7 linked regions of the Macaca fascicularis genome follow. The protein of the gene in region 7 interacts with the protein of the main gene of each other region in a pairwise test. Links are inferred from orthologs where the notes say so. Each region holds a gene or a part of one and is shown on either strand. Other genes may lie near its edges. The genes, in order: ATPAF2, CCDC102B, S100B, DTX2, CTPS2, FAM114A1 and SPG21.

Region 1 (4,103 bases), on a different chromosome or scaffold from region 7:
ACCAGTCAGTTGTGGGTTAGGCGCTCCCCCGTCTGGGGGTCTGATGAAGCCCTCCTAAGGAGATCTCAGGAGCAGGAAGACCCCAGGGTCTGCGGATTCCTGGGACTGAGGAAGGGGCGGGAGGGCATGTCTCAGGTCTGAGAGAATCTGACATGGGCCCAGACACGGGGAGGGTCCCGAGTCTGGTGAAACCAATGGAGAGTGCTTCAGGGTCTGAAAAGGGCTGGTGGCAGTCCCTGATCTAGGGACGACAGGTCATGGGGAGGAAGGACCCAGGCCTTTCCCTAGTCATGAGGGGCTTCCGGATCCCAGACGGGCCGGTCACGGGCTTCAAGTCTGGGAGTGTTCGGGGTCCGCCAGGAGCCGGTCACGACGGGCTCCGGGTCCGAAGGGGCAGGTCAGGGCTGGGGCTCGGAGAGTGTGAGACACAGGCTGGGCAGGTCCCGGGTGGGAAGCGCCGGGTGCAGGAGGCCCCGGCGGCGAGGGCCTGTTCCGCGGCTGCGGGCTCGAGGAGCCGAGGCGGGCACGGCCCGTGAGCGCCGCGAGGAGGCCCTCGGGCCCCGGCCCGGCCCGGCGCTCACCTGCAGCACCACCTCTACGTCGTACGAGTTCCCCTTGCTCTTCTGGTGGCCGCGGAACTTGGAGCCGCTGTAGAGCAGACTGGTGGCCACGCCGGGCTGCTGGGTGTTGATGGGCGGCGGCGGGATGAGTGAGGCCGCGGAGGCAGCCGAGGCACCGGCCGGCGGGGGACACTCGGTGCGGACGGGCATCGCGGGGTCCCCCGGAGCCAGGGCTGGGGGGAGTGGGAGAGGAACCGCCGCCGCCGCGCGGGAGCCGAGGAGGGTGGCGGGGAGGGAGAGGCCGGGGCGCGCACGCGCGGGGTGGGGGCGGGAGGGGCGACCACCCGCCCGCTGCCTGCGGACCAAGCGCTCTGGCCGCCACCGGGACCCAGGGACCTGCGAGCAGGGCCTCCCAGTCCTGAGCTGGGTCCCCCTCCCGACTTGCCCTCGCGCACACATACACACACAGAGACACTCACAGACACACTCACACACGCACACACACACACCCCGCCCCTTCCGATTGGCTCGGGCGAGCCTCGGGGGCGGGAGCAGGCTCACGCGGCGCTTCCGCCCATTGGCGGGAGGAGAAAACACGTGGCGGGGTGCGCGAGCGGCCCGCTGGGACTTGTAGTCTCCTCGCCGAGGCGCGGCGTGGAGGGGGCGGGGCGAGGTGCGTTTGTGATGCTGATTGACTGGGGGTGTGCGCAGGAGGTTTGCGAAGGCGACGGCGCGCCGTTGGTGTCATGCGGAAGATGGCGGCGTCCAAGGGAGGCTGAGGGCTTTGAGGAAGCGGTGAGAGGTTTCCGTACAGCCCGAACGTGCGGTTTTGGGGGTCCCTTCGCTCTGTGTTTCCTGCTCCAGGTTTCGCGTCGCGCATCTTCCCAGACCCTCGGGCGCGATGTGGAGGAGCTGCCTCCGGCTGCGGGACGGGGGACGCCGTCTCCTGAATCGGCCTGCGGGTGGTCCCTGCGCTTCTATGAGTCCGGGGCCAACCATCCCGTCTCCAGCCCGGGCTTACGCCCCGCCGACAGGTAAGACTATGACACGTTCTCTTTTGGGTAGGGGCCGAGCTGGGGTAAGGTGGGCTTCGGGCTTCGGCTATGCAAAGCGAGGTGACTGAGGCAGGGTTCAGGCTCATGAGGTTATGCAAGCCGGTCAAGTCTTTTTACAGATGAGAAAGTGAAGCCCAGACAAGGGCAGACGACCCGAGAGGGAACAGCGAGTGACGCACGATACAGTAATTGATATTTGGCCTGTGCAGCTTTTCTCAAAGCTTATGGCTGCCCTCCCTAGGAAATAAGGTGTCATCCTTGTTTTCAAAAGGGGAAGTTTGGGCTCTGAATCAGGACTTCGCCTAGGTTACAGACAGACTGTCTCAGAGATTTGAGGTGTCTGACTGCTTTCCGTGTCTCCACTGCCCAACACAATACCTGCACAGAAGGGACCTAGAACCTAGACCTTCATTCCTCCATCCTGGGCACTTCAGCTGCAGGTTTCCTGACTTTCCCTCCTACCACAACCTCTGCCATCTGCAGCCTTCTCTGCTAAATAGAAATTGACATCTCCACCTTTGACTGTGGAGTCACCTCCACCTCCAACTCTGATGAAGCTCAGAAGTAGTGGCTCTTTCATTGCTGATGGTGAGTGGTGTTAGGGTAAGAGTGAGAATGATTCATTTCAGTGAATGAAAAGCAGTAACACCCTCCCACCATTCAATTAGTTTTATAGTGCTGGAGGCAGGAGACACGGTAGTCTTTTAAGACCCACCTGTATGTATTGGTAGAGAAGCTCAGTTAAAGAAGAAAAAGACCCACCTGAATGATGTTCACTGTTGAGTGCAAAGGGTATAATATCCTGATAAGGGACATACAAAGAAGCTGTGAAAACACGGAGAATCACCTGCTCCCATCTTGGGGCTGTTCAGGGTTTAGAATGGGTCTTGGGTGAAAGGGCATTTAAGCTGAGCCATGATAGATGAGTAGGAGTTCAGCAAGAAGGTGGGAGAGTGTTGGGTATCTAGAACATGTCCAGGGTGACAGCAAGATATGAGGGACTTTTCCCTAACACTGCCTGCTTTAGAAACTTGAGAACTTCACAGGCAGTTTGGCATTGTGGCAGGAGTGCAAATCTAGGATCTGATACTGGCAAAACCTCTGAGGTCTGTGTGATCTTGGGCATGCAACTACTTCTTCATTTTTCTGCATGAGTTGAAGTACTAGGTTGTCTTTGAGGATCTTTCTGGCTATCGAGTTCTTTTTTTTTTTTCTTTGTTTCTTTTTTTTTTTTTTTTTTTGAGACAGAGTCTCACTCTGTCGTGGAGGCTGGAGTGCAGTGGCGCGATCTCGGCTCACTGCAACCTCCGCCTCCCAGGTTCAAGTGATTCTCTGGTCTTAGCCTCCTGAGTAGCTGGTACTACAGGCATCTGCCACCATGCCCAGCTAATTTTTGTATTTTTAGTAGAGATGGGGTTTATGTTGGCCAGACAGGTCTCGAACTCCTGACCTTGTGATCTGCCTGCCTCGGCCTCCCAAAGTGCTGGGATTACAGGCGTGAGCCACTGCACCTGTCCAAGTTCTATAACTTTATAGAAATGGGGAAGGGGGCTGGATGCAGCAGGGAGCTGAAGTTTCACCTGTAGGACTCAGGGGAAGGGCCTGGAAATGGGCCATGAAGGGCCAGTAAAGAAGAGGAAGGAAGGGCATCCCGGGGAGGCATAGCAAAGGGGACACATTCGGGAGTTCACCAAGTTGGCAAAAAGCAAAGGGTTAATTAATTACTTTTTAAATGTGTGTGTATATATATATTTATTTATTTATTTTGAGATGGAATTTTGCACTTGTCACCCAGGCTAGAGTGCAATGGCACAATCTTGACTCACTGCAACCTCCGCCTCCCAGATTCAAGCAAGTCTCCTGCCTCAGCCTCCCAAGTAGCTGGGATTACAGGTGTCTACCACCACACCAGGCTAATTTTGTATTTTTAGTAGAGATGGGGTTTCACCATGTTGGCCAGACTGGTCATGAACTCCTGACCTCAGGTGATCCGCCCGCCTCAGCCTCCCAAACTGCTGGGATTATAGGCATGAGCCACCACGCCCGACCACGAAGGGTTAATTTAGATTAGTGGATGCTCACTTTACATAATGGTGGCACTTGATCTACTGCCTTCTTTTCCTTTCTAAAAAGCCTAAACTTACTAGTTAGGCTCTTGGAATTACCTGGCACATGGTAGATAGTACCTAAACTTACTAGTTTAGGCTCTTGGAAGTACCTGGCACATGGTAGGCAGTCAAATGTGAAAGAAAATAGGAATGAATGAATGAGGAGGGAGGTGCAGAAATCAGGCCCATGTGTGCTCTTTAAAGACATTACCAGTTGTGAGATACTTGTGCGTGTTTGGAGTAGTAGAAGATTAAACCCCAGTGGGTTCTTCTCAATGAACACTTCAGTCAGCAAGCTGATTGAACTTGGCCACTTAGAAATGGCCATGCCATTGAAGGTTATCAGAGGGAGAGGAGGAGTTTAGGAAAGGGTCACTGAG
Region 2 (3,500 bases), on a different chromosome or scaffold from region 7:
CCTGCCTCAGCCTCCCAAGTAGCTGGGACTACAGGCGCCCACCACCACGCCTGGCTAATTTTTTGTATTTTTAGTAGAGACGAGGTTTCACCGTGTTAGCCAGGATGGTCTTGATCTCCTGACCTTGTGATCCGCCCACTTGGGCCTCCCAAAGTGCTGGGATCACAGGCGTGAGCCACCGCGCCTGGCCAAAATGAAATTACCTTTTGCATTACCTTTTGGCAACTGCGAATGTTGCATAGATAGATGGATGGATGGATAGATAGACAGACAGATAGATAGAAAGATAGATATATAGCATTTATCTATTCCCTAGATAAATGAGTGAATGAATAAGTGGAATATATCCAATCAAAATTGCCCACAAAATGGTTTTGTGTCTTCTCCACTGAGAATGTTCATCAGTTGAGAGTGGAGATTAATGTGTTCCCAAGAGCAGCAGTTTTTCACTTGACACATGTATTTGAAAAATATGGTCCATATGGCTGTAGAGATAGTTATATGAACCAAGAGGAAAAGTCTATTTATCTACGGTTTGGCCTGATCTTCAGACTTTTGTATTTTTCTCATGTTTTCAAACAAATAGAATTTTCTTTTTAAAATTATATCAATGGACATATCCATGAACCTTTCTTAATGGGAGTCTGTTTGTCGGTGGCGTTACCTTTTGGCAGTTGCAAATGCTGCATGCTGCTTTTTTGTGTTTTCTGTGTGTAGCTAGAGAGATTGCAAGCTGAAAACAGCTCGGAATGGGACAAGAGGGAAATACTTGAAACAGAAAAGCAGGGACTGGAGAGAGAAAATAGAAGGTTGAAGATCCAGATGAAAGAAATGGAAGAGCTCTTGGATAAGAAAATTAGATTAAGTGCAAACTCTCCAAGTCCTGATTTCAAGAAGTCACAAATTGACCTGCAAGAGAAAAACCAGGTATGGGTGCTCCTTGGAGCAAATTCTCACTGTCTAATCTCACCCTCATGCCTATGCCGAGTCTGTCTTCACTGGTACATGCCTCCACATTTGGCTATTTCCTTTTGTGCTAGCTAACACCTGATACCCCTTGCTCTTCTGCCCACTAGGATGTAAAATAATGTTGTTCATGCATCTGAAACAAAGTGTGTCAAATGTTAAAATATGACAAATCTTCAGACAGTTTCGAGATTTCCAAAAGGAGGAAGAAAAATGAAGTAAGAAATAGACCTTTCTGGTTTTTTGTTTCTTATTAAAGCTTTGTCTCAGTATTTTCTAAGCTATTGATCTTATTTCCAGTAAAGATTTTTTCATTAATTCAAGCAACTATACAATAAGCACTTGCTGGTAGCTATGGTAAGTTCTACATAAACATTTAAATTTAGCTGAAACTCACTGTTTCTGGTTCTTTTTTTGTCAGTTTCAGAACGATTATTTTTGAGCTAATTAAATGCATAATTTTTCAAATAATTTTTCCAGCCTATGGTACAAATCTTAAAACCAGAATAACATTCCTAATTTGAATTTGGGAAATTTAATTTTAGATGTGTTTTATCCCCAAGCCAATAGATATAGTTTGTGCTATAGGCGGACATTTTTTTGATAGTTTACAGATTTTTAAACGTGTTTTTAATGACAGTCTTATAGTTTTAATGTGGGTTTGTGTCAATATGCTGCAAATTTTATTTTCCTTGTTTCTATTTTTCAATTACATATAGCATCTTAATGCACAATTCTATTTCTCACTCAATTCCTGTAACAGTTTTCAAGGGTGAGTTTGATAAGTTCATAGTTTTGAGATATATGAGTCATTCATACTCATATAAGCTCTAAAAGCTACATGGCCAGAAAAATTGAATTCCGTATTGTTTTGTCATTCTTTCATGAATCTAGGGATTTATTGCAAATGCAAGATTAAATTGTATTAGTGTTTCATGACCTAGCAATGCAAATATCTAAAGTTAAATGTTATAGTCCGTGACCATAATTTTCTATTGTACTGATTCATAAACTATCTATAATAATGTATTTGATTCTGACATAAGTACACTGATAAATCTGTAGACATCTTTTTTGGACATCTCTACTCTAAACAGCACAGAATCATCTCAATTATGGACTGTGGATTGATTACAGAAATACTTTTTATTTGATTTATTTAAACAAGACAAACATTTATTTGTATTATTCTCTGTGTCAGTCACTGTTCTATATGCAGGTAATGAGAATAGTAATTAATGAATCATTATCCCCGCCTAGCATGGGCTTAGAGTCTATGCAGGGAGTCATACAAATTTTTATAAATAAAACACTATAATAACTGCTAAGAATAAAGTGGCAGGGGACATAGATTAAGAAGCAATTGATTATATATTTAATTTTGGCACCTTTCTAGTTGTACCAAAATGTCATAATATAAAGTGTGTCTTTCAGGAAAAATTGAGGCCTGTTTGGAGCTGGCATTGTCGTAACCTGTCATCAGGGCACACCTATTCCAGACCTGGTCTCTTTGACGACAGTGTAGTCATTTGGACTAGGACTAAGCAGAACTTGGAAACTGGGAGGATCCTCGAAGGTCTAAGTCAGTGGGTATGCTGATCACTTAGAAGACTGTAGGATTTTTTAAGTATAGATCATTTTGATGGTGGGGGTGGCATTGGTGATTTTTACCCTCTTCATTATAAATTCAGACTATCTGCTGGAACTAAAATAATCACTTATTTTGGAACAGTAGCACGCCAAAATTCTTAGTGTAACAGGAACTTCCCCAGAAGCTCAAAATGTCAAGATTATGATGTCCTCAAATGTCAAATGAATCAGAGCTGTGTACAGAATATGCCAAGGTTCAGGGAATAATGTAGATTTTATCATAACACAAAACCATATTGTAGTTTTAACACTATTTCAATAAGAGTTAATTTATATGTATATAAGTACCATGGATGAATACCATGGTGCTATGTGCATGTGCGTATGTGTGTGTGTGTGTGTGTGTGTGTGTGTATACCATGTATAAGTACTATGTCTACATATGTATAGAAGTTCCATACATGAGTGAGGCAGTGAAAGAAGGTGCTAGCATGTAAAGGCCACTAGTGCAAACACTGCTTGAATCTTAGTCTCTAAAAGAAATATAAGATCTCTTACTACATGACATTTGCATTTAAATCACACTTACCAAAGGTTTGTGGCAGACATAAAGCTGCCTGCTACTCATTAAGAACCCCACATAAATTTAAAAAAAATATGTTGGGTTTTAATATTCTAACTGTTCAATAAAATTTTTGTAAGTCCCTATTAATTGAAAAAGGTATGACTTTTTACAGGGCTTTACATTTGATTTTTTTTTATTTCAGTGGTATAGGGAATACATTTTTAAAGAAAATGCCTTCCAGTTTTAAATTGCACTATTAATTCATAGAAAAATAATTTTATTTACATGAGTAATCTTATCACATAAATCTCCATTGAGTAGTTGCTTTTATATACTATGTTTAAGGATATGTGTACATCATCCTTTTACAACTTAAAAA
Region 3 (4,091 bases), on a different chromosome or scaffold from region 7:
GCACAGAGCACAGTTGTGCCTTCCTTGGGCCTGGGCAAGCTCTGTGCTTCACAGAGCAAGCCTGTGCGGATCCTTCAGCAGAGACCACAGCCAGGGTTGGTGAAGCTTAAGAGGAAGTGAGGGCCAACCAACCGGCTCAGGCCGTTCCTCACAGGAGCCTGGGGCAGGCTGACCCACGCAAGACCACAGCTCTCGGCCCTGTGCTATTTCCAGGGCACACTTATAGATCCTGAATGGTAAAGAACTTCCTAGATAAAGCAATGACAGCAAAACAGCCGTGTACGCAGATATCTCGTGGGAAACCCTTTCACGGCCACTTCGAAACTGGGTTGGGAGAAGGACCTGATGCTGGGTCAGGCATCGGTTGGGGACCATGGACACGTTTGTAGAGTTTGGGCCAATGCTTTTGTGTAATTTGTCAGAAGGAACACCTACTTCCTCACTCTTGTGAGGAAGAACCCACAAACTGGCCCCCGTGTTCAGAGGCTCAGGTCAACAAGTTGAGGGGACAGCTGGACTTCTCCTTCTTCAGGCTGGCTGGAGCCTTCAGCAAGGGGTACACCGTCCACACGCCTCTGTAAAACAGCATTCGCACAGGACATCTCTAAGGCATTGTCCAACTCTGACAGTCTGTGACCTTCTACCCTGGGATGGAGGGAAAGGCCTTGGGATACAATCCACACATCATGTTTTCCCCTAAAAGTACCACCCTTTTTAGTCCCTGCAGACACTGGGTTCAGCAGCTTCTCTGAGGCAGCCCCGTTGAGCCCAGGGCCGACCACAGACAAGCACTACCGTCCACAGAACCTCACGCCCGGTGGGGCCAGACGTGGAGGCTGGCAGAGGAGAGAAGCTCCAGGGGCCTCTCCATTAGAAACCAGCTTGCAGGCCACTTAATCTCCTACGCTCAGCCTGTACTTGCAAGCTGCTTGTTCTTGGCTGCACATTTGCTTTGTTTGAATCAATTAATCCAAGTCTCTCTCCTCTCCCTACCCCCAACCTTGCCTTTAGGGGAACATCAATATTCATGTAATAAATAAATCACACAAAAAGCTGACTCCCCACTTCCTGCCCTACAGGCCCTTTTTTCTTCCTCAGCCCATGTGCAATCCTGGCTCCCAGCAAGTCCCCGGGGCTGCTTGGTCAATGCAGCCCTGTGTGCAGGCCTGGCAGCCCTGCCACCCCCGCCCTCGGCCCCCATTGGCTGCCATGGCCTGCAGTGGGCTGCACCAGGGTTCATCCGTCCTCCCTGGGCAGACGGAATAAGAGGCTGCCTCTGCCCACTAGACCTGCCGCCCAGGACCCGCAGCAGACACGAGGCCCGCAGCAAGGAGACCAGGAAGGGGTGAGACAAGGAAGAGGTGAGAAAGAGCCAGGCCAAGAGGATGCTCAGGAAGAAATGGTTGTTTTCGTTTGGGTGGAAGGGAATGGAGGGGTAGAAACTAAATGGTAGCTTAAAAACCCCCTTTAGGACAATTGGCAGCACTTCAGAAGTGTCAATAGGATGATGTGTTTTAATCTCTACATTATTGCTTCTTTGTGGACACCTGACTGCATCAGCCCTAGGCAGCTAGAGGTATTTTTCATAAATCAGAGAAACCTCAGGTCTCGGCCCAGAAGTGATTGCTGACATTTTCCCAGTGGTGCTACAAATACTACCTCTCCTGTAACTACTTGAAGAGTAAAGATTTTGCTTCCCACTGCAGCTGGAAATGATGGAGAACCTAATGCTAGTTTAGTCCATATCCTAAATAAACCCCTTTTCTCCTTGTTACTTTTTCCACCGCCCTGGGTAAGTAACTCTTCAGTTTTCCAGTTTCCCTCAGTTTGAAGTGCCAGGGTGACAACAGCCCCAGGACGCCACTCAGAAATTACGTAACAGTTACAAATAAATTGAGTCAAAGAAATTGGGGTTTTGGTGGGTTTTAACTTTCTTCAGTCTCACAGTTTCTTAGGGAGGTTGAACCCCTAGAGGGATCCTCACACGCTAGGTAACGTGTCTTTCTAAGGAGTTAAAGTTCAAATGTTCTCTTGTTCTCAATATTAAAAGATTAATGTAGGACATTCACAGAATGTGAGAAAGAAACATATTTATTTCCATTTCTCTTAAAAGATAAACTATAAACCATCAACTATTTATTAAGTCAAAGGGAAAAATTTAACAAGAATTTTTTAATTGATTTGTAGCGTGGTTATGAAGAAAACCATATTTTCTAGTGGTTTCTATTAGTGTTCTAATATATGGAATACATGTTTTATGCCTTCCTTTGTAATAATCTCGTTAGTCATAGTTCATAGAAAAACAATTTAACCTCCTTTTCCCCAAATCATCATGGACTTTGAGGAGCATCAGAATGATGTAAAAGTGTCTTGTTTTGTTTTGTTCAAAAAAAATACACACACATATATCAATAATTGAAAACTTGAGTGCAAAGAATAAGAAAAGCATGAAATGTTAAAGATTTTAATCCATCTTAACTGTTCTATTTATGAATTACCAAATTTTTAGGGACTCAAGAGCAAAATAAAGTACACTGATTATTAATAGAATGCCTTTAGCAAAGATCTAGCCAGCACAAAAAAATCTTCAATCCTGTTTCCTTTGGAGCATCAGAAATAAATAAAATTTTTAACATCTAATTCCAAATTATTTTTAAGATGTAAGTCATATATTCAACATGGGAATGATTTTTCAACACTATTTATTAATTTATTTTTAATTATAACAGTGCAAATGTTCTTATTTGATGATTAGAACTCAAGGCCAAAAGCTGGTAAATTTCTCGGCCTGCCCATCTGTTTTGTGAGACAACTGACAAGGCATCCTTTGTAGAAGGCGCCTCATTCCCAGACTGATGAGATATTTCCTTGGTTTGCAGGCTGTGGCGTAAGGTACTTGCTGTGAGGGAGGTCGGAGGGATCTTACTTTGACAGCTGCAGAGAAACACCTATTCCTGCCCCGTCCCAGTCACTGCAGTGAATGAACCAGCCTTTCCCTGCACTGGAGGTAGAATGCAGGCTCAGCAGCTCAGCTTCCTGCCGGATTCTGTCCCTCCCTGCCACAGAACCACACGCATTTAATCAGTTAAACTTAGGATACATTTTTTTTCCTGGTAGATCAAATAACTTTCACTGTTATTCTTCAAAAAGATTGTGGCAATTCTACCATATTTATTTTTCCAGATGAATTTTACAGCTGTTTTTGTCATGTCACACATCCAAAAAAAATTCCATCATTTTTATTAAAAATGATTTAAATTTACATATGAATTTAAAGGAAAAACTTCCTACATTTTATGTTCCTCCGAATCTCTTGGAAGGACCTGCATTTTTCTTCCTAAACTTAGTCTTAGATCACATGCTATTTCTATATGAATAGAATATTTCGCACTGGATTTTCTATTTCTTTATTGATAGAATATAGGAATGCTCTTGATTTTTGTCTTATTTTGCTCCTAGTCACTGTCTCACTTTCAGATTGATTTTAACAGCTTGTAGTCGATGGTTTGCTCACCTGCACTCTACCACCTCATCTTGGAGCCTTACAAGAACAGAGAGGGACCGTGTGGGGAGGAAGCAGAAATTTAACCCGTGAATTCCTTTGCTGCTCTGCGTCTGTATTTTTGCTAAAGATTCCCTGTTGGACCAACCCAACCAGAAGCCAGAGGGCATGGGAATATATCCCTGTGGCCCACAGAGACAGAGAAGGCTCACATCTGTCTAAGAGGCAGGTGGAAGGATTGATAAAGGTACAAATTCCCAGAATGCCCCTCCAGGTCATGCCTGCTGTTCTGAGCTTGAAAAGAGTGCCAGGGCCAGTCCATCCCCCTTGTCTGGGTTGCGGTCTGTATTGATAACCTGTGAAATGTTTTATGATGAGGTATAGATGAGAAGGCATCTTTCCTTTGCGAGCCCCTAGGATGTCTGAGCTGGAGAAAGCCATGGTGGCCCTCATCGACGTTTTCCACCAATATTCTGGAAGGGAGGGAGACAAGCACAAGCTGAAGAAATCCGAACTGAAGGAGCTCATCAACAATGAGCTTTCCCATTTCTTAGAGGTGAGTCTTGCTTTTTACACTTGACACCTTCTC
Region 4 (3,500 bases), on a different chromosome or scaffold from region 7:
TGTAGTCCCAGCTCTTCAGGAGGCTAAGGCAGGAGGATCACTTGAGCCCAGGAGGTCAGGGTGGCAGAGAACTATGATCACATCACGGCACTGCAGCCTGGGCGACAAAGGAGACCCTGTCTCTAAAAATAAATAAACAAATAGCAGCATGACTGTGTACCTACTGTGTTCCTATTTATTTGGGCTGTTGAAAAAAGAATTTGAACGTTCCCTGTATTTTGGGGATGCTAGCAGACTAACCTTTTGTTTTTCTTTGGAAACAGGCACCATGAGGGCTGTGCGGAGGCACCTGTTCCCCCAGCACTCAGCCCCTGGCCGAGGTGTCGTCTGGGAGTGGCTGAGCGACGATGGCTCCTGGACCGCCTACGAAGCCAGCGTCTGTGACTATCTGGAGCAGCAGGTGGCCAGGGGCAATCAGCTCGTGGACTTGGCCCCGCTGGGGTACAACTACACTGTCAACTATGCCACCCAAACGCAGACCAACAAGACTTCCAGCTTCTGCCGCAGTGTGCGGCGCCAAGCAGGGCCGCCTTACCCGGTGACCACCATCATCGCTCCGCCGGGCCACACGGGCGTTGCCTGCTCTTGCCACCAGTGCCTCAGCGGCAGCGGAACTGGCCCCGTGTCAGGCCGCTACCGCCACTCCATGACCAACCTCCCTGCGTACCCCGCCCCCCAGCACCCCCCGCACAGGACCGCTTTTGTGTTTGGGACCCACCAGGCCTTTGCACCGTACAGCAAACCCTCACTCTCCGGGGCTCGGTCTGCGCCCAGGCTGAACACCACCAACCCCTGGGGCGCGGCTCCTCCCTCCCTGGGGAGCCAGCCCCTCTACCGCTCCAGCCTCTCCCACCTGGGACTGCAGCACCTGCCCCCAGGATCCTCCACTTCTGGTGCAGTCAGGTATTGTGGGCAACAGCCACTCGTTTTGTCCGCCCTGTGTTTCCGCTCTTACTTGGCTGGGAAGACTCACCCCAATTCCTGCAGATGCGGCTCCTGCCCCCTGGGTGGTCCCTGCCATGGCATCTCATTTGCATGTGCCATGTGAGTGCTGAGGTGCCATGGCCGTCCAGAGCCTACCTGACCCCTTGTACCCGAGTCCTGGTGGTCACCACACGGGTTAGAATCTACAGTCCTTTCACTCACGATGCTGGGACCCTCCACGGAGAGCAGAGTTAGAGGCCTGTGGCCTCTGCTTGCGGGCTTCATGGCGAGCATTGTGCCTGAGAACACCGGGTCACTGCCTGTACACTGACTCCTGCCATGTGCCAGGTCGTGAAGACCCAGAGACCAGAGCATCAGCCCTTACCCCTGCGACCCAGTCTAGTGTGGGGGGCTGTCAGCACGGTGTGAGGGAGGACAGAATGTGGAGCATGTGGCAGTGGCTGCAGGTGGCATGGGTGACCCGGCCCCCTGCTGATGCAGCCCAGCCCAGAGTGCCTGGTAAAGCACTCAGCTCCTTGAGAGAGAGATAAGGATACCACGGGCCCCGTGCAGACCAGAGCAGGTGGCATTTAAAGTGAGGAGATTGGCCAAGCACAGAGGCTGACACCTTTAATCCCAGCACTTTGGGAGGCCAAGGCAGGAAGATCATTTGAGCCCAGGAGTCAGAAACCAGCCTGAGCAACATAGTGAGACCTCATCTCCACACACACAAAAAATTTTTAATTAGCCAGGCATGGTGGTGCACACCTGTGATCCCAGCTACTCAGGAGACTGAGGCAGGAGGATCGCTTGAGCCCAGGAGGTCGAGGCAGCAGTGAGCTGTGATCGTGCCACTGCACTCCAGCCCCTAGGCGACAGAGCGAGACCCTGTCTTAAAGCTGGGCCCAGTGGCTCATGTGTGTAATCCCAGCACTTTGGGAGGCCAAGGTGGACGTATCATCTGAGGTCAGGAGTTTGAGACCAGCCTGGCCAATATGGTGAAACCCATCTCTGCTAAAAATACAAAAATTAGCCAGGCATGGTGGTCAGCACCTGTAATCCCAGCTATTTGTAAGGCCGAGGCAAGAGAATCCCTTGAACCCAGGAGGTGGATGTTGCAGTGAGCCAAGACCATGCCACTGCACTCCAGCCTGGGTGACAAAGAGTGAAACTCCATCTCGGCCGGGCGCGGTGGCTCAAGCCTGTAATCCCAGCACTTTGGGAGGCCGAGACGGGTGGATCACGAGGTCAGGAGATCTAGACCATCCTGGCTAACACGGTGAAACCCCGTCTCTACTAAAAAATACAAAAAACTAGCCGGGCGAGGTGGCAGGCGCCTGTAGTCCCAGCTACTCGGGAGGCTGAGGCAGGAGAATGGCGTGAACCCGGGAGGTGGAGCTTGCAGTGAGCTGAGATCCGGCCACTGCACTCCAGCCTGGGCGACAGAGCGAGACTCCGTCTCAAAAAAAAAAAAACTCCATCTCAAAAAAAAGATAAAATGAGGAACCCCCCTGGATTTCCCTGGATTTGGCCAAGGTGAATGCTCTGGGCTGGCCGTAGCCCTCTGACGCTCTGGCTGACTTGGGGCTTTGTCATTCATTATTGAGAGTGTTGGGCTTGGAGCACATTTTGAGAATTCAGAGTGGTAGCTGGGACGGGGCTTTCCGAGAGTGTGCTGGTGTGGGTGGTGAGGGAGTGTGTGGGCCGCACTGGCCCTGGTCAGCATCCTGCTGCCTCCCTGCTCACTGGCCCACCCCTGCCTACCGCACCCACGTCAAGGGCTGAAACTTCTCAGGGTGGTCGAGACCTCCTTGGCGACTTCTCGGACCTCTAGTATTTTTTCAGACTGTGTTTCTGAGGACCCTGTCAGCTTGTGTAAGACACAGTGACAGCGCCTCCCACTTATTGGTTCGTGTCATGTGCCAGGCCCTCCTGAGCAGGCTGCATGAGTGACTTCACTCATGCCACGACGCTCTCAGGCTGAGCAGTGTTCTTCACTTACAGGGGAGCACCTCCAGGCCCATGAGGTTGGCGACACAGCCAGCAAGTGCCAGAGCTGGGATTCAGCCCAGGCCCCAAGAGTGCGCTATCTGGGGCACATGGGGAGTTCTTGATGCTCCCGGGAAGGCAGGGGGCTCTTTTAATACATTTTAATTTTATTTTGTTACTATTTTTAGAGACAGGGTTTTGCTGTGTCACCCGGGCTAGAGTACAGTGGTACAGTCATGGTTCACTGCAGGCTCGAACTGCTGTGCTCAAGTGATCCTCCTGCCTCAGCCTCCTGAGTAGCTGGGACCACAGGTGTACACCACCACACCCGGCTAATTTTTCAGTTTTATGTATTGGCATGGTCTTGCCATGTTGTCCAGGCTAGTCTTGAATTCCTGGCCTCAAGCAATCCTCTTGCCTCAGCCTTCCAACGTGCTGAGATTATAGGCATGAGCCATCACACCTGGCCCAAAAGGCCTCTTGAGGGATGAGCTAGGAGGAGGCCAGTAGACAGGAGAGTGATGGGCCTTGGGTGAGTTAGAGTTCTCATGGGCATCTTCTGCCAGGAGTTGGGGCACGCGCATCTG
Region 5 (3,500 bases), on a different chromosome or scaffold from region 7:
GGCACAGAAAGGATAAAGAACTTGCCCAAGGCCGGGCGTGGTGGCTCACGCCTGTGATCCCAGCACTTTGGGAGGCCGAGGTGGGTGGTCACTTGAGACCAGGAGTTTGAGACCAGCCTGGCCAACATGGTGAAATCCCATCTCTACTAAAAATACAAAAATTAGCCCAGCATGGTGGTGCATGCCTATAATCCTAGCTACTTGGGAGGCTGAGGCATGAGAATCATTTGGACCGGGGAGGTGGAGGTTGCAGTGAGCCGAGATTGTGTCACTACATTCCAGCCTGGGCAACTGAGTGAGACCCTGTCTAAAAAAAAAAGAAAAAAAAAGAACTTGCCCAGGTACAGTTTGTACAGATCAGTCTGACACTGGAGTCTGAGCTCTTAAACATTTTAGCATGCCTGTGAATCCTAGAGAAATTTGGTTTATCATGATGAAGTTTGTTGCATGATAGAGTTGAGGTCTTTGGAAACCCAGGGCAACAGACCTAGGCACTTTGCTTGCAGAAGGTATCCACAGCTTTCTGTATAGTGACAATAATAAAAAGCCTAGAAGATAAGACTCTGTTTCAAAAAAAGTTCAAGTATTTAGTTTAGATAGAAAACTGCTGTGTGCTTTTGAAATTTTGGTGAGATGAAGCATGGTGGCTCACTTTTGTAATCACAGCATCTTGGGAGGCCAAGACAAGAGGACTGCTTGAGCCCAGGAGTCTGAGACCAGCCAGGGCATCATAGTAAGAACCTGTCTTTACAAAAATGTTTTAAGAATTAGCTGAGAGAGTTGGCACGTGCCTGTAGTCCCAGCTACTCCAGAGCCTGAGGCAAGAGGATTGCTTGAGCCCTGAAGTTCAAGGTTGCAGTGAGCTATGAACATGCCACTGCACTCCAGCCTGGGTGACCTAGTGAGACACTGTCTCTTAAAAAAAAAAAATTCTGAGCTAGGGGCGGTGGCTCATGCCTGTTATCCCAGCACTTTGGGAGGCTGAGGCAGGTAGATCGGTTGAGCTCAGGAGTTGGAGACTAGCGTGGGCAACATGGTGAAACTCTGTCTCTACAAAAAAACCACAAAAATTAGCAGGGTGTGGTGGTGCTCACCTACAGTCTCAGTTACTAGGATGCTGAGGTGGGAGGATCGCTTGAACCCAGCGAGCAGAGATTACAGTGAACCATGATTGCACCACTGCTCTCCAGCCTGGATGATGGAGTGAGACTGTCTTAAAAAAAAAAAAAAGAAAAAAAAATTCTGGTTGAATGCACTGTCTGCTTTACTAGTTTCAAATATTTCGCCGGGCGCGGTGGCTCAAGCCTGTAATCCCAGCACTTTGGGAGGCCCAGACGGGCGGATCACGAGGTCAGGAGATCGAGACCATCCTGGCTAACACGGTGAAACCCCGTCTCTACTAAAAAGTACAAAAAACTAGCCGGGCGAGGTGGCGGGCGCCTGTAGTCCCAGCTACTTGGGAGGCTGAGGCAGGAGAACGGCGTAAACCCGGGAGGCGGAGCTTGCAGTGAGCTGAGATCTGGCCACTGCACTCCAGCCTGGGCGACAGAGCAAGACTCTGTCTCAAAAAAAAAACCAAATATTTCTCTTTCCTTATCCATAATTTTATTGCCTTTCAGATTATATCTGGGTGTTGGCACCCAGCCACTATTCTGCCAATGAAGTACATCCTGGTCACGGGTGGGGTCATCTCAGGCATCGGTAAAGGGATCATTGCCAGCAGCATTGGGACGATTCTAAAATCATGTGGACTCCGAGTTACTGCCATCAAAATCGACCCCTATATTAACATCGATGCTGGCACTTTTTCACCTTATGAACACGGTACGAAAGAGAACCACTTCCCCCTTATAGCGCTAGGCTCAACTGCATTTTTTTCTTCCGCTTTGGGTAATTTCTTTAGGATGTAGTTCCAGATTTAGAGTGACTAGATTGCATGCTATGAATACGTGAATTTTCTCATGGTCATTGACACATTGTTCATACCTCTGATGACATTCCAAATTAATCAACCCTTGTGGAAACATTGTACTTTTTGTACTATGGATTCTGTTTTATTTTTATCATAAAGGTAGTATGTTTCTCTTAACATTTCCCATTGCCTGGAGTAACTATTATTAATGGTGACATTTTGATGTATGAGTGTATTCTATTTATTTTTAAAATGGCTTTTGCCGGGCGCGGTGGCTCAAGCCTGTAATCCCAGCACTTTGGGAGGCCGAGACGGGTGGATCACGAGGTCAGGAGATCGAGACCATCCTGGATAACACGGTGAAACCCCGTCTCTACTAAGAAATACAAAAAACTAGCCGGGCGAGGTGGCGGGCGCCTGTAGTCCCAGCTACTCGGGAGGCTGAGGCAGGAGAATGGCGTAAACCCGGGAGGCAGAGCTTGCAGTGAGCTGAGATCCGGCCACTGCACTCTAGCCTGGGCGACAGAGCGAGACTCCGTCTCAAAGAAAAAAAAAAAATTAGCTGGGTGTGGTGTCATGTATCTGTAGTCCCAGCTACTCAGGAGGTTGAGGCAGGAGAATCACTTGAACCTGGCAGGCGGAGGTTGCAGTAAGCCAAGATCAAGCCATTGCATTCCAGCCTGGGCGACGGAGCGAGACTCTGTCTCAAAAAAACAAAACAAAACAAAACAAAAAACAAAACAACAACAAAAACCAACCAAAAAAAACCTTTTTATATGCAAGCAAAAAAGAGCATAAATCGTAAGTGTACAGTTGGATGAATTTTCATTAAATGAACACACTGTATAACCAGCCCCTGATCAAGAAACAGAAATGTTTGTGTCCCTTGCTATTCTGTCTTCTTGTTTTTGTTTTTTGAGACAGGGTCTCACTCTATCGCCCAGGCTGGAGTGCAGTGGCCAAGATCTCGGCTCAATGCAACCTCCCCCTCCTGGGCTCAAGTGATCTTCCTGCTTCAGTCCCCTGGGTAGCTGGGATTACGGGTACGCACCACCACGTCTGGCTAATTTTTGTATTTTTTTTTTTAATAGAGCTGGCATTTTGCCATGTTAATCAGGCTGGTCTCGACCTCCTGGGCTCAAGCAATCCTCCTACCTCGGCCTCCCAAAGTGGTGGGATTACAGGCATGAGCCACTGCGCCCGGCCTTGAATATTTTGTTTTAAACTTCACTAACCGGAGAATAAAACAAACAAAAAGAGGGTATCTTATTGTTTTAGTTTAGATTTCTTTGATTTTGATTTTGTTTGTGAATGACTTATTCAAGTCTGTGGTAGATTGTATTTTTGCTTCAAAATATCACCCACCATCCCTCTGTGGAATACATTTCCCTGCCTTTTGACCTTGGAGTTTGGCCACGTAGGATAGTTAACTTGTCTTGGTTTGTTTGGAATGTTCCTGATTTTAAAACAGAAAGTCCCGTGTCCTGGGAACCCGCTTAGTCCTGGGCAAACCAAGCAGGTTGGTCACTCTGTTTGGCCATGTGATTTGTTTTGTCCTATGGGATGTTAGGGAATATTAACATATGCC
Region 6 (3,995 bases), on a different chromosome or scaffold from region 7:
GATCATCAAAATATCAAAATTTTAAGTAAAGACAGCATCCAACCCTCTGCCTACACAACTCAGCCTCCCTCGCTTCACTCTTATCCCAGACCTGCTATAGAATTTACATCGTGAAAAAGGTCTCGGTTTCAATTTCTAGCTATGTGACCTTAAACAAGTTACTCAGCCTTTCTGATCCCTATTTTCTCCTCTTTAAATTGGGGTTATCATGATACCTGCCTACTTCCTAGGATTTCTATTGCAACTAAATAATACTAAAAGGGTGCAGCAGCAGGTATGAAGCCTGGTCTGTAGGAAACATTCTACTTCCTCTCCTCTTCCTCCGTAGAGGATCCCTCAACAAAGCCAGTGTATTACATTTTACGTGCCTGTGGTACGAGCACTAATCTGTCAATTTCATACTTCTGATTCCACAGAGCAACAAGAAGGCCGAGGTCCTCAACCCCATGCTCAGTAGCGTATTGTTAGAGGTAAGTGGTCTCTGGAGAGAAAGTGCTCCTGAATCAAAGTAAATGTTAGAACTGCTGCTTCTTTTTTTTTTTTTTCTTTTGTCTTTCTCCCCCACAGCAAATGTTATTGCAATTCTGAATCTCATCATCAAGTCTTTTTTGAGTATATTTGTGTAGCTCAACCAGCTGTAAACCCTCTGATGAAGCAACAATACCTAATTTTCAAGAATTCCTGATTATAAAAAGAAATGCTAAGCTTGCACGTTATTTCCATCACTGTTTGCTCCAGCAGAAGCAGATTTCTGCTGCCAAATTTGACACTAGATTTAACACTGTGATTATTGGCTGCAATGAGGGGTTATTGCTCATCGGTGATTTTCATAAAAATGGGCACTTCCTTCGATTTAGAATAACCTTTGGTTTAGCTGGGTCTAATCTCCAAGCTGGCAACAATGACCAGGAGAATGTTTAGCCTATGCCCTGTCAGTGACAAGGGCACCATCCTCTGTGCCTTCTCACTCTGCGGACTGCCCGCTCACTAGGACTTTGCAGCATCAGCTGTGTTGATGTAAAGCTGCCCCAACCAACACTGCTGTGTCTTTGCCAGAAACAGTCGCCTAAGAGAGAAGAAAAGAGGTCCAGGAAGAATCCTCATTCTTGAATCATAGGCACTGTGTTCTACTTGTAGAGGAAAGGTAGAAGATTGGTAGAGGAAAATCTTCTGTTAGGGGCTAAACTATAAGTGCCCAGGGCACCTAGCTGAAGGCACAAGGTGTTAACAAGCTAAGTTTGAACATGGGCGATGCATATATCATAGGATTTTGCTCCCTGAGGTGGCTGTCCATTGCAGAATTTGGAAATTACAAAAGTTCAGGAGGGCTATTGTATTAGTCCATTTTCACACTGCTGATAAAGACATACCCGAGACTGGGCAATTTACAAAAGAAAGAAATTTAATGAACTCACAATTCCACGTGGCTGGGGAGGCCTCATAGTCATGGCGGTAGGTGAAAGGCACGTCTCACGTGGCTGCAGACAAGAGAGCTTGTGCAGAGAAACTCCCCTTTATAAAACCATCAGATCTCATGAGACTTACTATCACAAGAATAGCATGGGAAAGACCTGCCCCCATGAATCAATTTCCTCCCACCAGGTCCCTCCCACAACATGTGGAAATTGTGGGAAATTCAAGATGAGATTTGGGTGGTGATACAGCCAAACCATATCAGCTACCTATATATTTATAGCATTGTTTGGGGGACTTGCACCTTACTGTTAAGGAAAACGACAAAGGTACAGAAATAACTAAGTGATGGCACTGAATATTATTGTTTAGGATGCAGCTGCGCAGTAGGATGGCATCAGCCAGAAGGAATAGGGCTGTAGGGGCAGGTCTTGGAGGGACAGACACAGCTAAGAGAAAACCCTGGCAGTCAGAGGCAGAGTGTGGTACAAGAAAAATCTCTCCCTTGGCCACCCAGAAGGCATAAAATTAACTTACCATGTCAGGTATGAGGAATATGAGGTCAAATGTATTTTCTGTTTCCCCAGTAGATGTTTTCACATGTTTTAGTTACCCTAGCCTTTAAAAGGCCTCTCCATCCAATACTGTGTGTTAGTGCACCACAAAACAGGAATAATAATGTCAGCTATGCCAACCAAGCAGGAAGTACCATGCATAGGAGGATAACAGTGTTCAAGTTTGCTGTGAATAACTGCCCAATAATATCTCCAGTTAGCTTTATGTTGACGATTCTTATTTATCGATCTGTAGGGTAGGACAAACTGACCACCTTCATACTGTGTTTTTGTGTTATTTCAGGGCAGTAGGGTTGATCTGGGAAAGGGATAGATAAGACAGGAAATACCCTGGGCCAAAAATGTACACACACTGATGGATCTTAAAAGTCCACAGAAGTGGCTCACGCCTGTAATCCAGGACTTTGGGAGGCCAAGGCAGGCGGATGACGAATTCAGGAGATCAAGACCATCCTGGCCAACATGGTGAAACCCTGTCTCTACTAAAATACAAAGAAATTAGCTGGGCGTGGTGGCACGCGCCTGTAGTCCTAGCTACTCGGGAGGCTGAAGCAGGGGAATCGCTTGAACCTGGGAGGCGGAAGTTGCAGTGAACCAAGATCGTGCCTCTACACTCCAGCCTGGTGACAGAGCAAGACTCCATCTCAAAAAAAAAAAAAAAATCCATGAAAATGATTTGCCTTATCTCGAGTGAATTATTCTCTCTGTTAGTATAGATAATTGAGAGCTGGACATGCCCCATCCAAAAGCATGTGTTTACGCTTGCTTTAAGCACCAACATTGCAAGATAAATACAATCCAGTATTGGGGAGTGGGTTGAAGAGTGGGGACATTATCCAGTTGGAAGAATTGTCAAGGTTAAACTATGAAAATAACCCTTTAATCTCATTTTTCTCCTCTCACAGGGCTGCAACAGCACGACGTACATACAGGATGCCTTCCAGCTGCTGCTGCCTGTTCTGCAGGTCTCACATATCCAGACCAGTTGTTTGAAAGCACAGCCATGACCTGGCCAGACTCCATCCAGTTAAAGGAGACAGCTGGCCGCCTTGCCTCAATATGTACCATTTAAGGGGATGTTCTCTGTGCACCTGGCCACAGACACCCATTTGAGGACACTACAAGCAATTTTGCACAGACAATATTGAGAATGCAAATTTAGAGAGAGTTATCATTTCTCTCAGTGTGTATAATTATTTTTACAAAGAATTGTGTTTTCTTTAAGTTAATTTAAACTTACACGGCTTATATTGAATATTTCCTTTATCTGAAATTTTTTTACAAATATTCATGTTGATTTTCCTGGTTAAGCATGCTGTATTTAGAAATTCATGGGCAGACCTTAGACGTTTTTTTTTAATCCTTTAAATTTCAACCTTTAAATGTTCCATTCTTATAGTATTACTTTAAATCAATTCTAAAACTGAACTTTGTTTTGTTACATAAATGTCGCAGGCAAAAATAACACTACTTATAGATTTTACCTATTATGGTAAAAAAAGGAAAATATGGTCATTCTTTTTTTTTTTTTTTTTTTTTTTTTTGAGATGGAGTCTCGCTCTATCACCAGGCTGGAGTGCGTTGGCACAATCTCGGCTCACTGCAGCCTCCTCCTCCTGGGTTCAAGTGATTCTCCTGCCTCAGCCTCCTGAGTAGCTGGGACTACAGGCTTGCGGCCACCACGCCCAGCCAATTTTTTTGTGTATTTTTAGTAGAGACGGGGTTTCACTATGTTGGCCAGGATGGTCTCGATTTCCTGACCTCATGGTCCCCCGCCTCGGCCTCCCAAAGTGCTGGGATTACAGGCATGAGCCACTGCGCCCAGCCAGTCATTCATTCTTGCAACAAGCGTTTATTGAGCACCTACTGTGTGCTCACAGTAAAGAAACCTGATCTTATCCCAGTAGAGGTAGATATTCTGAAAGAGAATAATTCTTAAACTGCTTAAAGAAGTCCCTACCCCTGGCCGGGCGCGGTGGCTCACGCCTGTAATCCCAGCACTTTGGG
Region 7 (3,980 bases):
TGGTATGAATAGGAAAGTTTGTTCTCCTAGCTCTCTTTCATCCACCAAGGGGGTATACTTTTCCAAGTCATAACAGGAATATTCTGTATATGGCAAAGGTTAACTGAGATTGTGACCAAACTGGTCAGTACTGAATAAGAATGAATGTAGACCATGAGCTCAAAACTGATTTGATCTCTCATGATTTTGTTCCTCACAAAAACAAAAGCACCTGTTCATGCTGGTGGGAAAAGGACCACAGTATTAGCCTCAATCTTGCCTAAGGAAACCCCTCTTCAGGGTGTGCTGTGGACTCCCTGTCTTCCCTGGCCCTTGTGCTGCTGGACAATAAAAACTGCCAGTTGTGGGCCGGGCGCGGTGGCTCAAGCCTGTAATCCCAGCACTTTGGGAGGCCGAGACGGGTGGATCACGAGGTCAGGAGATCGAGACCATCCTGGCTAACACAGTGAAACCCCGTCTCTACTAAAAATACAAAAAAACTAGCCGGGCGAGGTGGCGGGTGCCTGTAGTCCCAGCTACTCGGGAGGCTGAGGCAGGAGAATGGCTTAAACCCGGGAGGCAGAGTTTGCAGTGAGCTGAGATCCGGCCACTGCACTCCAGCCTGGGCGACAGAGCGAGACTCTGTCTCAAAAAAAAAAAAAAAAAAAACTGCCAGTTGTGGCTGGGTGCAGTGGCTCACGCCTATAATCCCAGCACTTTGGGAGGCTGAGGTGGGTGGATCACCTGAGGTCAGGAGTTTGAGACCAGCCTGGCCAACACGGTGCAGCCCCGTCTCTACTAAAAACACAAAATTAGCCGGGCTTGGTGGCGCATCCCTGTAATCCCAGCTAAGCAGGAAGCTGAGACGGAAGAATCACTTGAACCCGGGAGGCAGAGGTTGCGGTGAGCCGAGATCGCATCATTGCACTCCAGCCTGGGCAACGAGAGCGAAACTCCATCTCAAAAAAACAAACAAAACAACAACAACAACAACAACAACAACAAAAACAAATGAGCTGGGCGTGGTAATGGGCGCCTGTAATCCCAGCTACTTAGGAGGCTAAGGCAGGAGAGCTTGAACCTGGGTGACGGAGGTTGCAGTGAGCTGAGATCGCACCACTGCACTCCAGCCTGAGTGACAGAGTGAGACTCTGTCTCAAAAAACAAACAAACAAAAAAACCTGCCAGTAGTGACTATGCCCCTATCGCTCAGGGCTTCAACAGAACCTGCCACTTTAAAGTCAACAAAATCACCTTTATCAATGTTTAAGTCACATAACCAGCATAACTAGTCAGAGGTTTCTGCTACTTTATTTCAATCTATAGTTGACGTGCATTATGGACAATCCGTGATTATAAATATTAGCCATGACAAAATATTAGAAGCGGAGAGTCTCTGGGCGATGCAACTGGCTTTTTAATGCACCTCTCCATCCCTCACCACAGAAGTACACAGCTATCCTTTTCTTAGATCTCTTCAGGGGAAAGCTATCCCTCTTTTCTTCATTGCATTATCTCTAAACCTTACAGGAGGAAAAGCTGCCTACCTGACATCTGTGACATCTCTTCTCACGCTCTTGGTATAAAAACTTTTGGAATTTGGACACAGCTTATTAAGTTACTCCTCAGTGGCTGGGCGCAGTGGCTCACGCCTAGTAATTCCAGCACTTTGGGAGGCCAAGGCGGGCGGATCATGATGTCAGGAGATCGAGACCATAGGCCTGGCTAACACGGTGAAATCCCCTCTCTACTGAAAATACAAAATATTAGCCGGGCGTGGTGGCGGGCGCCTGTAGTCCCAGTTACTTGGGAGGCTGAGGCAGGAGAATGGCGTGAACCCAGGAGACAGAGCTTGCAGTGAGCCGGGATCGGGCGACCGCACTCCAGCCTGGGTGACAGAGCGAGACTCCGACTCAAAAAAAAAAAAAAAAAGTTACTCCTCAATTTGTTGAATCTTTGTGCCAAAAGGAGCTGAACCAGTGTAGGTGGAGACAAAGGAAGCAGCATAAATGTCTAACTTATAACTCCCCAGGAAAACGAGAAGAGGAAAAATGAGACACTCCGGTCCCGCTCTGTTCCTCATTCCCCGTTCACAAACCTCACGCCTGGCCCACACTCAGCAACAACAAAGACATCTGTCACTTTCAGGCCGAGGTGCTGTCTCCAAAATTACTGACCTCTGCTCAGAGTTCTTAAAAGTTTGCTGAGAAAAAAAAAATGTCCCTGGGCTGCAGTCGTGTAGCCCGAGTATGGGTTTACAGGAGGATGCCCCGGTTAAGCCCTCTGCCGCCCCCACCTCCCGCTGGAGACTCATACACAGCTCCCCGCCAGTCCCACCGGTGACAGCCACACAAAGGCAGGGTCGCAAGCACACCGACCACCCCACAGCCCACAGTCGGCCCCAGACACACACTCACAAGGGCACGTGATCACGTGAGTGGTCACATGGACCGGCCCACTCAGAACATACTCACAAAGTCACACCAACCAAAGCAGCCACGCGCCATACACACACCTACAACACCGCATACCGCACACCCAGCAGCTTCCCAGCGCTTCGCCCACCCTCACCTGCCGTGGCCGCCCCCACGTCCCTTCCCCTCCTTCCAGAGGCTGCTCTTCGCTCCAGTACGAGCGCGGGCCGTGGAGGCGGCTGGGCCCCGGTCGGGGCGGGCGACCGAGCGCTCGGGACTCGCGGGCGCAGCAGGCCGTGCGGAGAGAGCAGGAGGCCGGCCTCTGAGGGGCGGGGCGCGTGGCCGAGCGAGCTCGGGCCGGCGCGCTCCCCACTTCCGAACCGCCGCTCAGCGGGCGCGAGACTCCCGCTTCCGGGTTCTGAGGGGGCGGGGCCACGTCGCGAGGAAGGGGCGGTGCTGCGTGGCTCCGGCGGTCGCCACGGCGACGGGAGCGGGGGGCGGCTCCGTGGGATCCTCAGCGGCGGCGGGCGTTGGGAGAGGGCTGAATTACCTGTGGGTCAGCCTTAGTTCTCCTGTCTGACCTGCGGACCCAGGAGAAGGGGGCGCCTGGCCCCTTGGGACCTGCTTCTGCTTTCAGTTCGCGTTTACAGCTTTGGAGAGACACCTTTGGGTTCCAGGCTTTGGTGAACAGAACTTTGTATACTCTTTTCTTAGGAACATTTTTTTTCCTTTGGCACAACCGTAGACGCTCTCCATTAGTCTTCCACTCAAAGTCCCCACTTCCTTTTGACGTTCTGGGGATTTCTGGGAACGTACGCCCACCCATCTTCCTGTTCCTTCATCATTTTCCCCTTAAAATCAGAGAGAATATTAATACACTTATAATACATTTATACACTTATTAATACTTATTAATACACTTATAATCATTGTTCTTAAGGTGTTGCAAACGTCAACGTCTTGAGGTGTTGCAGACGTCACGACTCTTTTTTTTTAGTAAAATATTTCTGAAATTATGATAAGGTGAATAACATGTAAATCTCCTTGTTTTGAATTTTTTTTAGGGATCCTGCAACAAGGTCCTGTTGAAAGTGCTTCTCTCTAATAGTTTTAGGGAAGCTTGTACCCTGTTTTAGGGCCTGTAGACTTTGCCCTTACCTAGGCAACTGTTTATGGGATTAAGGTCAGGGAAGATCCAACTAAATTGCATCCTACTTAATTATCACTTCTGTCCCCTGGCTCAGGAGCCTTGGGTTCCACTCTAGAACTTGGACAAATCCCAAAAGCATTTCCCAAGAGCACAGTGACATACTTACCTTTTTCTTTTTCTTTCTTTCTTTCTTTTTTTTTCTCTAAATCACTTCTTTCGGAGTTGCAAGTCAGTCGCAGGAAGTCATCTTTTATTGTAAGCACCACATAGATGTATAGAGCATGTTTCCATGGAGTATTTTAACTTGAGGGCCTTTTCTCCAATATTTGGAATTGTTCAATGGGTGGAATAACTTGCAAACTACTGGTTGTCTGTGAAACTGGTTATGGATATTCATTACATTAGTTGTCTATTTTCCCAGGTGGTCTCGAAGCTTC

Evidence for each region.
Region 1: the proteins of SPG21 (region 7) and ATPAF2 interact in binary tests that used the Homo sapiens proteins (3 or more experiments, as listed by UniProt). The two-hybrid records come from large-scale screens. The link is inferred for Macaca fascicularis from reciprocal best matches to the Homo sapiens genes SPG21 and ATPAF2.
Region 2: the proteins of SPG21 (region 7) and CCDC102B interact in binary tests that used the Homo sapiens proteins (3 or more experiments, as listed by UniProt). The two-hybrid records come from large-scale screens. The link is inferred for Macaca fascicularis from reciprocal best matches to the Homo sapiens genes SPG21 and CCDC102B.
Region 3: the proteins of SPG21 (region 7) and S100B interact in binary tests that used the Homo sapiens proteins (3 or more experiments, as listed by UniProt). The two-hybrid records come from large-scale screens. The link is inferred for Macaca fascicularis from reciprocal best matches to the Homo sapiens genes SPG21 and S100B.
Region 4: the proteins of SPG21 (region 7) and DTX2 interact in binary tests that used the Homo sapiens proteins (3 or more experiments, as listed by UniProt). The two-hybrid records come from large-scale screens. The link is inferred for Macaca fascicularis from reciprocal best matches to the Homo sapiens genes SPG21 and DTX2.
Region 5: the proteins of SPG21 (region 7) and CTPS2 interact in binary tests that used the Homo sapiens proteins (3 or more experiments, as listed by UniProt). The two-hybrid records come from large-scale screens. The link is inferred for Macaca fascicularis from reciprocal best matches to the Homo sapiens genes SPG21 and CTPS2.
Region 6: the proteins of SPG21 (region 7) and FAM114A1 interact in binary tests that used the Homo sapiens proteins (3 or more experiments, as listed by UniProt). The two-hybrid records come from large-scale screens. The link is inferred for Macaca fascicularis from reciprocal best matches to the Homo sapiens genes SPG21 and FAM114A1.

What each region holds. Positions count from the first base shown.
Region 1 is NC_088390.1:18,151,858-18,155,960, reverse strand, and holds the start of ATPAF2 (ATP synthase mitochondrial F1 complex assembly factor 2), read left to right. Parts: upstream 1-1,303; 5' UTR 1,304-1,461; coding exon 1,462-1,594; intron 1,595-4,103. Other genes in the region: GID4 (glucose-induced degradation protein 4 homolog), read right to left, coding at 582-1,019. UniProt on the Homo sapiens protein: Plays a role in the assembly of the F1 component of the mitochondrial ATP synthase (ATPase).
Region 2 is NC_088392.1:11,756,766-11,760,265, reverse strand, and holds part of CCDC102B (coiled-coil domain-containing protein 102B), read left to right. Parts: intron 1-717; coding exon 718-927; intron 928-3,500. UniProt on the Homo sapiens protein: During interphase, forms fibers at the proximal ends of centrioles to maintain centrosome cohesion. During mitosis, dissociates from the centrosome following phosphorylation to allow centrosome separation. Contributes to CROCC/rootletin filament formation.
Region 3 is NC_088377.1:522,084-526,174, forward strand, and holds the start of S100B (protein S100-B), read left to right. Parts: upstream 1-1,291; 5' UTR 1,292-1,361; intron 1,362-3,912; exon of another isoform or gene 3,913-3,919; 5' UTR 3,920-3,920; coding exon 3,921-4,058; intron 4,059-4,091. UniProt on the Homo sapiens protein: Small zinc- and- and calcium-binding protein that is highly expressed in astrocytes and constitutes one of the most abundant soluble proteins in brain.
Region 4 is NC_088377.1:51,247,824-51,251,323, reverse strand, and holds part of DTX2 (probable E3 ubiquitin-protein ligase DTX2), read left to right. Parts: intron 1-263; coding exon 264-903; intron 904-3,500. UniProt on the Homo sapiens protein: Regulator of Notch signaling, a signaling pathway involved in cell-cell communications that regulates a broad spectrum of cell-fate determinations.
Region 5 is NC_088395.1:16,509,013-16,512,512, reverse strand, and holds part of CTPS2 (CTP synthase 2), read left to right. Parts: intron 1-1,619; 5' UTR 1,620-1,658; coding exon 1,659-1,824; intron 1,825-3,500. UniProt on the Homo sapiens protein: Catalyzes the ATP-dependent amination of UTP to CTP with either L-glutamine or ammonia as the source of nitrogen. Constitutes the rate-limiting enzyme in the synthesis of cytosine nucleotides.
Region 6 is NC_088379.1:38,235,135-38,239,129, forward strand, and holds the end of FAM114A1 (protein NOXP20), read left to right. Parts: intron 1-416; coding exon 417-470; intron 471-2,893; coding exon 2,894-2,995; 3' UTR 2,996-3,495; downstream 3,496-3,995. UniProt on the Homo sapiens protein: May play a role in neuronal cell development.
Region 7 is NC_088381.1:41,578,780-41,582,759, forward strand, and holds the start of SPG21 (maspardin), read right to left. Parts: upstream 2,801-3,980; 5' UTR 2,551-2,800; intron 1,727-2,550; 5' UTR 1,527-1,726; intron 1-1,526. UniProt on the Homo sapiens protein: May play a role as a negative regulatory factor in CD4-dependent T-cell activation.